Linked DNA regions of Bombyx mori. The protein of the gene in region 1 interacts with the protein of each later gene in a pairwise test. Links are inferred from orthologs where the notes say so. Each region holds a gene or a part of one and is shown on either strand. Other genes may lie near its edges. The genes, in order: protocadherin-like wing polarity protein stan and frizzled-7-B.

Region 1 (3,832 bases):
CTCTCCTCCACGGTTTTTCGCGCTATGACCAGTCTTTCTTCAAACGAAGCTTGCGATGTGTACTCAACGGTAGGCAGCGACTTAGTTGTGCCCGTATAATTGCTGATGTCCATGAGCCACGACAACCACTCGTAGACTAAAATGACACAAAAAAAAAATGTTATTTTGACGACAATCACAAATTGGAATACAAGTAAAGACTCTTCGAGCTGGGACGCTTTTTCTTATTGCACCATATACATAGTGTGTTTTTTTTTCATTATAAATATGCTAATTTTATTTTAGGATGTTCGTATTGGAACTGCTCAGTCGCTTCTCAATCGGCCAACGGTCAGAGAAAACGTGAGGGACGGCTGCCAATCTAGAGCCGATTGCATGCTGTCAATATGTCCTCCTTATGTGAGTTTAAAATTTAAATTTACATTGTCAAATACACTATTGTGCTAGGTTCATCGTAACGCCTACGGCCGTCTGGTGTAGTGGTAAGTGACATGGTCACCACACAAGGGGGTCGCGGGTTCGAATCCCGCCAAAGGAAGATATTTGTATGATAAATATAAAATGTATTTTCCAGGGTTATGGATGTATATTATATACATCCATACGGTAGGCAGCCGCTTAGCTCTGCCCCTGGCATTGCTGAAGTCCATGGGCGACGGTAACCACTCACCATCAGGTGGGCCGTATGCTTGTCTGCCTACAAAGGCAATAAATAAAAAAAAAAATGTATGTGTATAATAAAAATCTTACATTTATTTCCGTTATTTGTTACCTGTAACACAAGTTCTTTACGAACTTAGCACGGGACCAGTTAACGTGGCGAGCTTGTTAGTAAATATTTATTTATTATTTATGACGTGATTACCCCAAGTAGGGCCTTCTCTGAGTTTTCACGAATCAACAAAACCAAGCTGCTCATTTCCACCCCGAATAAATCGTGTGCTTAAAAGACGTGGTATATGTTATGTAATACAGTTAGCAACTACGGAAACCATCATCATGTCAGAAACTTCGTAACGGCATTCACGTTCTGATGTGTATTGGCTCGTATAACTTAACACCAAGTGAGCCTTACAAATTTTCGCATGCACTGAAGTGTACAGTTTATAATTATTTTTGGGATTTTATAACCTAGTAACTAAGACCTTTAAGTCATGTCTTATTTGAATTTATATTCATATTTTTATGAAAAATGATAGTATGAAGTGAAATGAAATGAAGATGATTAATTTGAGACATTAATCAACTGGGATGAAATTAAATGTAATGAGATGAGATGTTATGGGATGAAATATAATCTCAAAAAAATGGTGGGCATTTACTGAGATTTTTTCAGTGGACTTTTTGGAGGATCCCGAGAAGTGACGTCCAGCGGCTTTGTTTCATTTTCCCACATTTGTGCACTTTCACAGATATTAAACAGTTAATAAACCACCGTTATTACACATTCAAACCTGAAAAAACACTAAGTAGACAAAATAAAACAAATCACACAACTTCACTCCTCGCGTTCCCGCCAAAAAACTCAGATTATAATCTGAATGCGTTTTGTGTCCAGAGTAAGTGTGTGACGTCATGGGACAGCAGCACGTGTACGTGCGAGGCGGGTCGCGTGGGCCCGCAGTGCGTGTCGGCATGCGAGCTCGGCCCGTGCGGCGCCGCGCGGTGCGTGCCCGACCAAACGCCCAAGGGCTACTCCTGCGCTTGCGAGCCTGGATATACTCTTACCAGTGAGTCCTTCTTTGTGATCATTTCGATTCGTATTTAAAGATTAACAATAAAGAGCAGGCAATGTAAAATGCAAATGTAAAAGATAACCTAATCATTAAGAAGTTGTTAACTTTTTCTCTTAGTACACCATGTAAAGCGTTTTTGAAAACTATGATATATCAATGTTCGTGTTGCAAATGAAATTTAGTGTGTACTATATAAATTGCAATATGAATATTAATTGATATGTTTTCTTTTTAATTCGAACTACATATTTACTAAGTAAAATTATTTCAGCGTCAGGCTGCATAGAATCAGGGAAAGAAGAATGTCCAGGAGGATGGTGGGGTGGAAGCGCGTGTGGGCCGTGCGCTTGTGACGTCACACGTGGCTATCATCCACACTGCAACAAGGAGAACGGAAAATGCCATTGCAAAGTACGCAAGACGTACTTGGTTTTTTATTATAATATATTGATTTTCAAAACCATTATGGTAGAAAAAAAAAGGTTTTCTCGTTTCGTTTACAAACATTCTACTATCTTTACTTGGTATAACTATTTACGAATGTGTAAATATATTTTTTATTTTACATTTTTACATATTTTTTTTATTACAAACAGATAAAACTTAACATTTTTGAACAATGATTGGACTATTTTTGACTGACTTTCCTATTCATTCTGTCATTCATCGATGAAATATGGTAAATTTAATGCGCACAATAAGCTCGGGCTAGGAATATAATCGATGGCTCGAGGGCTTTTTACTCTTAAGTTTTTATTTTATTATTAACATACAATCTCACGGCCTCAATATACAGGGTGATGTTTGATGATGACTTAATCTCCCGTTCGAAAATATTATCATAATATTTTAATTATCAGACAACAATCTCTCGCGTTTTTATCACCAATTAACCAATAATGATTGTCATCTCCAGGAAAACCACTACAAGCCTGAAGGCACGGCGGAGTGTCTCCCGTGCCAGTGCTACGCGGCGGGGTCGGAGAACAGCTCGTGCGAGGCGGCGACCGGCCAGTGCCACTGCCGGCCCGGCGTCATCGGCCGCGCCTGCGACGCCTGCGCCAACGCCTACGCCGAAGTCACGCCCAACTCTGGATGTGAAGGTGACTGTATCGACCATACCCTAGGAGTGAATGACTGAATGAATGAATGAATGAATGAATGACTATACGAGTACTGTCAAACATTTCTTATATTACACTTAATATATATTGATTTACTCCAATTTTTATTGATTTGTGAGTCTACCAGGGTAGGTACCACCGCCCTGCCTATTTCTGTCGTGAAGCAGTAATGCGTTTCGGTTTGAAGGTTGGGGCAGCCGTTGTAACTATACTGAGATCTTAGAACTTATATCTCAAGAGGGGTGGCGCATTTACGTTGTAGATGTCTATGAGCTCCATTAACCACTTAACACCAGGTGGGCTGTGAGCTCGTCCACCCATCTAAGCAACAAAAAATATAATTATCCAATAAATAGCCTTTCACACCGCGATATTATATTAGAAACACTTGTGTTACAGTGGTGTACGACGGATGTCCGCGCTCTTTCGCGGGCGGTGTCTGGTGGCCGCGCACCAAGTTCGGCGTCGAGACCATCACCGACTGTCCCCCGGGTGAGAGCCGCGTCCGGGACCGTCGCCGGTCCCCCGTGACGTAACGCGTGCGATCCTCGCGACGCACTGATGACGTAACGCGTGCGATCCTCGCGACGCACTGATGACGTAATGCGTGCGATCCTCGCAATGCACTGGTGACGTAACGCGTGCACGTACTGTCCAGGTTCGAGCGGCCGCGCGACCAGAACGTGCGACGAAACGAAAGACGTCCCCTGGCAGGACCCGGACATGTTCAACTGTACAACGGCCACTTTTTATCAGCTAAGGAAACAGGTCGGTATTCCATTCGCACAATTCAGTAGTACTCCCCAAGAAACTTTCGCCAATTGAAGCTATTGTATTAATGACTAGTGAAAAAATTTGTCTACGTGTAAATGCATGTAATACACCATTTTTTGCGCCACCTATCGTGCGTTTAAGGTGCGCGAAAATGTTCCTTGAAGTGTGAAAAAAACTGTACCAAGTTTAAAGACAATT
Region 2 (4,323 bases), on another chromosome or scaffold:
TGTTGATGGAATGTAAAAGATTCATAACATTCATAGTTTATTACAATAAATTTCCTGTGAAAAACTTTTAAAATTACATCATAATGCTGTTTGCTTTCACTGAATAATAACAATGATGAGCCATTAGGAACTTTTAACTTTTAATGAATTTTAACTGGAATAGGTAAAGCAATTAACTAGAAATTGTTATATCACAGTTAAATGAATTTGCATCACAATAGCAATGAACAGTCCATGTAATCTATAAAGTAAAGCAGCTACAGTAGAAGGTGACTAAGAAATATTGTTTTATATGACTTTCCAAAATTTATGGCAGTCTTGTTTGATGTATATTACTGTTTAATAAAATAGAGGATTGTCATACATTCATGTAGTAACTAAAAATAATTATACAAAAACAAATAAATCTAAATATAATATATAATGAAAACATTCATTAACTTTTGTTTGCAGTTGCAGTTTCTGCATTTAAAATAATTACACATAGGCTTCTACTCTGCGACCTTTAACTTTGTCAAAAAATTGAGACCATGATATCAAAGTTTTACCAGACCATATCCAAAAGCTAGATGTTATACCAACAATCATTGTCATTAGATATTTAATCATAAACATTTCAAACTTTGGTCCTTCTATCTCTTCATGAATTATCGGACAAGGAATTGAGTATTGTCGTATCGAACACATGTCTCGTTGCCATGCAATCATCCATTTGTCAAAATTAACTTGTTCATAGAACAAACATGCTATGACTATGAGGGCAGGCACGGTGTATAGTACACCAAACACACCAATGCGAATCATCAGTTTCTCTAATTTATCAGTTTTAGTCCCATCATGTTTCATGACAGTTCTGATCCGAAACAGTGAGACAAAGCCAGCTAGAAGAAAGATTGTTCCAAACACTAAATAGACACATAAAGGTGCCAACACAAATCCTCTTAAAGCTTCTGCATCCCATAATCCAACGTAACATACACCTGACAGTACATCACCTGAAATTAATAGTTGGAATGATTTTACTTTCTACTACTAAAATAATAATAAATTGTGCAATTACTGGTGGTAGGGTGTTGAGGATGGTAGAGCCTATACAAAATTGGGTGCCACCACCGTGCTTACTTCTGCCTTAAAAAGGTAATGTTTTTTGGTTTGAAGGGTGAGACTGTCATTCTAGTATAAAACGGGACTTAGACCCCATAGCTCAATGTAGGTGATGGCTTTTACATTGTTGACGTCAATGGGATTGAGTAACCACATTAGGTCAGTAACCATATGAGCTCACCCACCCATCTAAGCAATAAAATGAAAAATACTGCACCACTTGTTCTACAAGTAGTGTAAGCTTGGACAGATTAATAACATTGTCTTGCCTAGTTCAATCAAGAATCAGTCACATATTCCAGTTTGCCATTAATTTGATATAAATGAAACTGACCTCATGTCTAAACTGTCATGAAATCAATTCAGTAATTATTTAAAACCAGTTGTACATACAATTCTTTATCCAAGTTGTTATGCTAATAAAAAAATTAGAACACATGGAAATGAGAAAAAAATCACTAACCATCTACTTTCCCCATTGCTAGAATAGATATTGTCTTCACAGCTGGTACTGCCCAAGCAGCAAGATGAAAATATTGGGAATTTGCTTCTATTGCTTCATGTCCCCATTTTAGGCCAGCAGCCAAAAACCATGTCAGGGTTAATATGACCCACCATATACTCGAAGCCATACTAAAGAAATATACTATCATAAACAGTATTGTGCATGGCTCATGTTTTGTACCTTGTGTGATAACTGATATGTTGGGTAATCTTGTTCCACTGACAGCAGAAACAAAAGGCCCTTGGCAGCTTATATTATCACCTGCACTCCAACCCATTATGTAGGCAATAGCTACCATTAGATAACAAACTGACAAAAATATTATGGGTCTTTCTGGATACCTGAATCTATCTGTATCTATTAAAAATGTTAGCACAGTAAAAAGGCAACTGAGTGCACACAGGACTGCCCAGATTCCAATCCAGAGCCTTGAAAAATTCTTTTCATCTTTACTGAAGAACATTCCATTGCATGGGGCTCCACAGTCATGTTCAACTCTATTTCCAACTTTAAAAGAGTATTCAAGATCTAAATGTCTTGGTACTTTAAACTGCACTGGGCACACAAACTCATGCAATCTAGTCGGATCTCTCTCCATGTTAGATTTGAAGTCAACCTTACGAAACTTGGTATCAGTGCGTTTTCGAGATTCATGGGCAGTATTATTGTCACCAACACATATGTTATTATCAGATACTTCAGGAAATTCAGAACATTCAAGCTCAGGGGGCCAAGGAAAATCAAATTTTCGTATGACGACATCACAGCTTTGTTTTGCAGCTTCACATAAATGACGACAAGGCGGTATCGCAGAATCTAGTATCGTGCAAACGGGTGCATAAACTGAACACAAGAAGAATCTTAGATCAGGAGAGCAATTCAGTTTAATGAGAGTTGTAAACAGAAGCATGTTTGCGGCTGCATCTTCTTGTCGTGCTTGATTTAAAATATTCGGAAAAATGGTTTGATTATAACGCAATTTCTGACAAAACTGAATGGTAATGGGTTCACAACGTCCATGTTGAGGTAGACTATCGCCTTGATAAACAATCTCTCGAGAACCTTTTGTTAACGCAAAAAGACATAACAGACTGAATATAATAACATAATGTTTCCAAAATTTTGCCATATTGATCATGTAGAGTTTACCACATAAATGTTATTCATCACAAAACATTTCGTACAGTGTCATTTTATTAAAATTGTGGTATTTTGACCCACGTTACATGTAAATATTTATCTCTTTAAAATGTCTCTTATTTGATATTAGCATATTATGACAGACTTTAATTAGTACATAATATCTATAGCTGATTTAAGTATTGGTTTCTGAAAACTTAAGTTTTTTTGTTAGAAATTACGAGAAATTCACAAAATAGTTACGGTACGAAGAGAATATGTACCAAGTAACCAAAGCAAAAATACATTTTTTTAAGGGATTTTATGACCTGGTAACTAAGACCTTTAGGTCATGTCGTCTTTTAATTTATATTCTTATTTAAAAAAAAAAAGATAACATGGAGTGAAATGAAATTAAATAAAGATGATTAACTTGAGATATTAATCAACTGGAATGAAATTAAATGAATGAGTTTAGTAAAAACTTTTTTTATTAATTGTTATTTCAATGAAGTTGTGTTTATATTTTGTCATGATCTTGTACAGCCGGTAATATATTTGAATAATAAATAAAACACGTAAACATGTTTAAAATTGTGGTTCGGAGTGTCAATAGATCTGCAATAGATGTAAATATACACATTACATAAGTACACATACACATAAATATACACATTTAAAACATAAAATATTTAATCCTAATCTCAGTTAAAAATTACAATCCCCGAAATATAACTGTACAGGCAGTGCGATTCTACTTTTCAAAGTTGAGCCATTAATTGCCCTGATAGATAGCATTATTATAAATTAATTAAGCATTACTGACCATTTGTTAATGAAAAGTCAAAATATGAATTTGCAGATTAACAAAGCAGTCACTTCGATTAAATATAAAGTGTATAATAGGGATGTAAACCAGTTCGAAGAAAACCGGAGAAAAACCGGTTTTTATACATACCGATAAACACCGGTTTTTATTTAAGAATACCGGTTTTTAATTACGCGTTACATTCACAGTTCACATCAGTGCTACCAGATCAAATATACAAGCTACCTAAAAAAACCGTGTTTCAGACTCAAATTACCGTGCATTACATTTAAAAACTACAGTGCAATAACCACAATATGGTTGGTAGACTTTTAGCGTACGAAATGGGGACCGTGACCCAAATATCCACATATCTGCACCCAACACTCAGAAATGGCTTTCGTCAACCAGAGCACATGTTGTCTGCAAAAGAGATGGTGCGTCGTGAACTGGGGAATCTTCCTAAATAATTTTCAACTCTAGCTTTATCATCGGAACAGCCAGAAGAAACCACAAACAATTTTAAAAAGCCTGGTATTTTGGATTTTTTGCATTCGCGAAAACGGGATATTCCGAACGCCACGGCGGCCGCAGTGTATATAATACGATTCTATATTGAGACTGAAGCCGCCACAGGAAACCATACCGAAATTGCTGGCACTTTTTGGATGAGCAATACTCATTTAAGGCCTTTAAACAAAATAGCATTTAAATACCTATCAGTCCCATCAACTTCTGTGCCTTCCGAACGTATGTTTTCGACGTCGGGGTACGTGCTAACATCCAA

The links.
Region 2: the proteins of protocadherin-like wing polarity protein stan (region 1) and frizzled-7-B interact in binary tests that used the Drosophila melanogaster proteins (3 or more experiments, as listed by UniProt). The link is inferred for Bombyx mori from reciprocal best matches to the Drosophila melanogaster genes stan and fz.

What each region holds. Positions count from the first base shown.
Region 1 is NC_085128.1:4,497,717-4,501,548, reverse strand, and holds part of protocadherin-like wing polarity protein stan, read left to right. Parts: intron 1-285; coding exon 286-399; intron 400-1,558; coding exon 1,559-1,730; intron 1,731-2,007; coding exon 2,008-2,147; intron 2,148-2,652; coding exon 2,653-2,839; intron 2,840-3,259; coding exon 3,260-3,352; intron 3,353-3,518; coding exon 3,519-3,628; intron 3,629-3,832. UniProt on the Drosophila melanogaster protein: Involved in the fz signaling pathway that controls wing tissue polarity. Also mediates homophilic cell adhesion. May play a role in initiating prehair morphogenesis. May play a critical role in tissue polarity and in formation of normal dendrite fields.
Region 2 is NC_085110.1:8,283,497-8,287,819, forward strand, and holds the start of frizzled-7-B, read right to left. Parts: upstream 3,062-4,323; 5' UTR 2,748-3,061; coding exon 1,568-2,747; intron 996-1,567; coding exon 478-995; 3' UTR 1-477. UniProt on the Drosophila melanogaster protein: Receptor for Wnt proteins.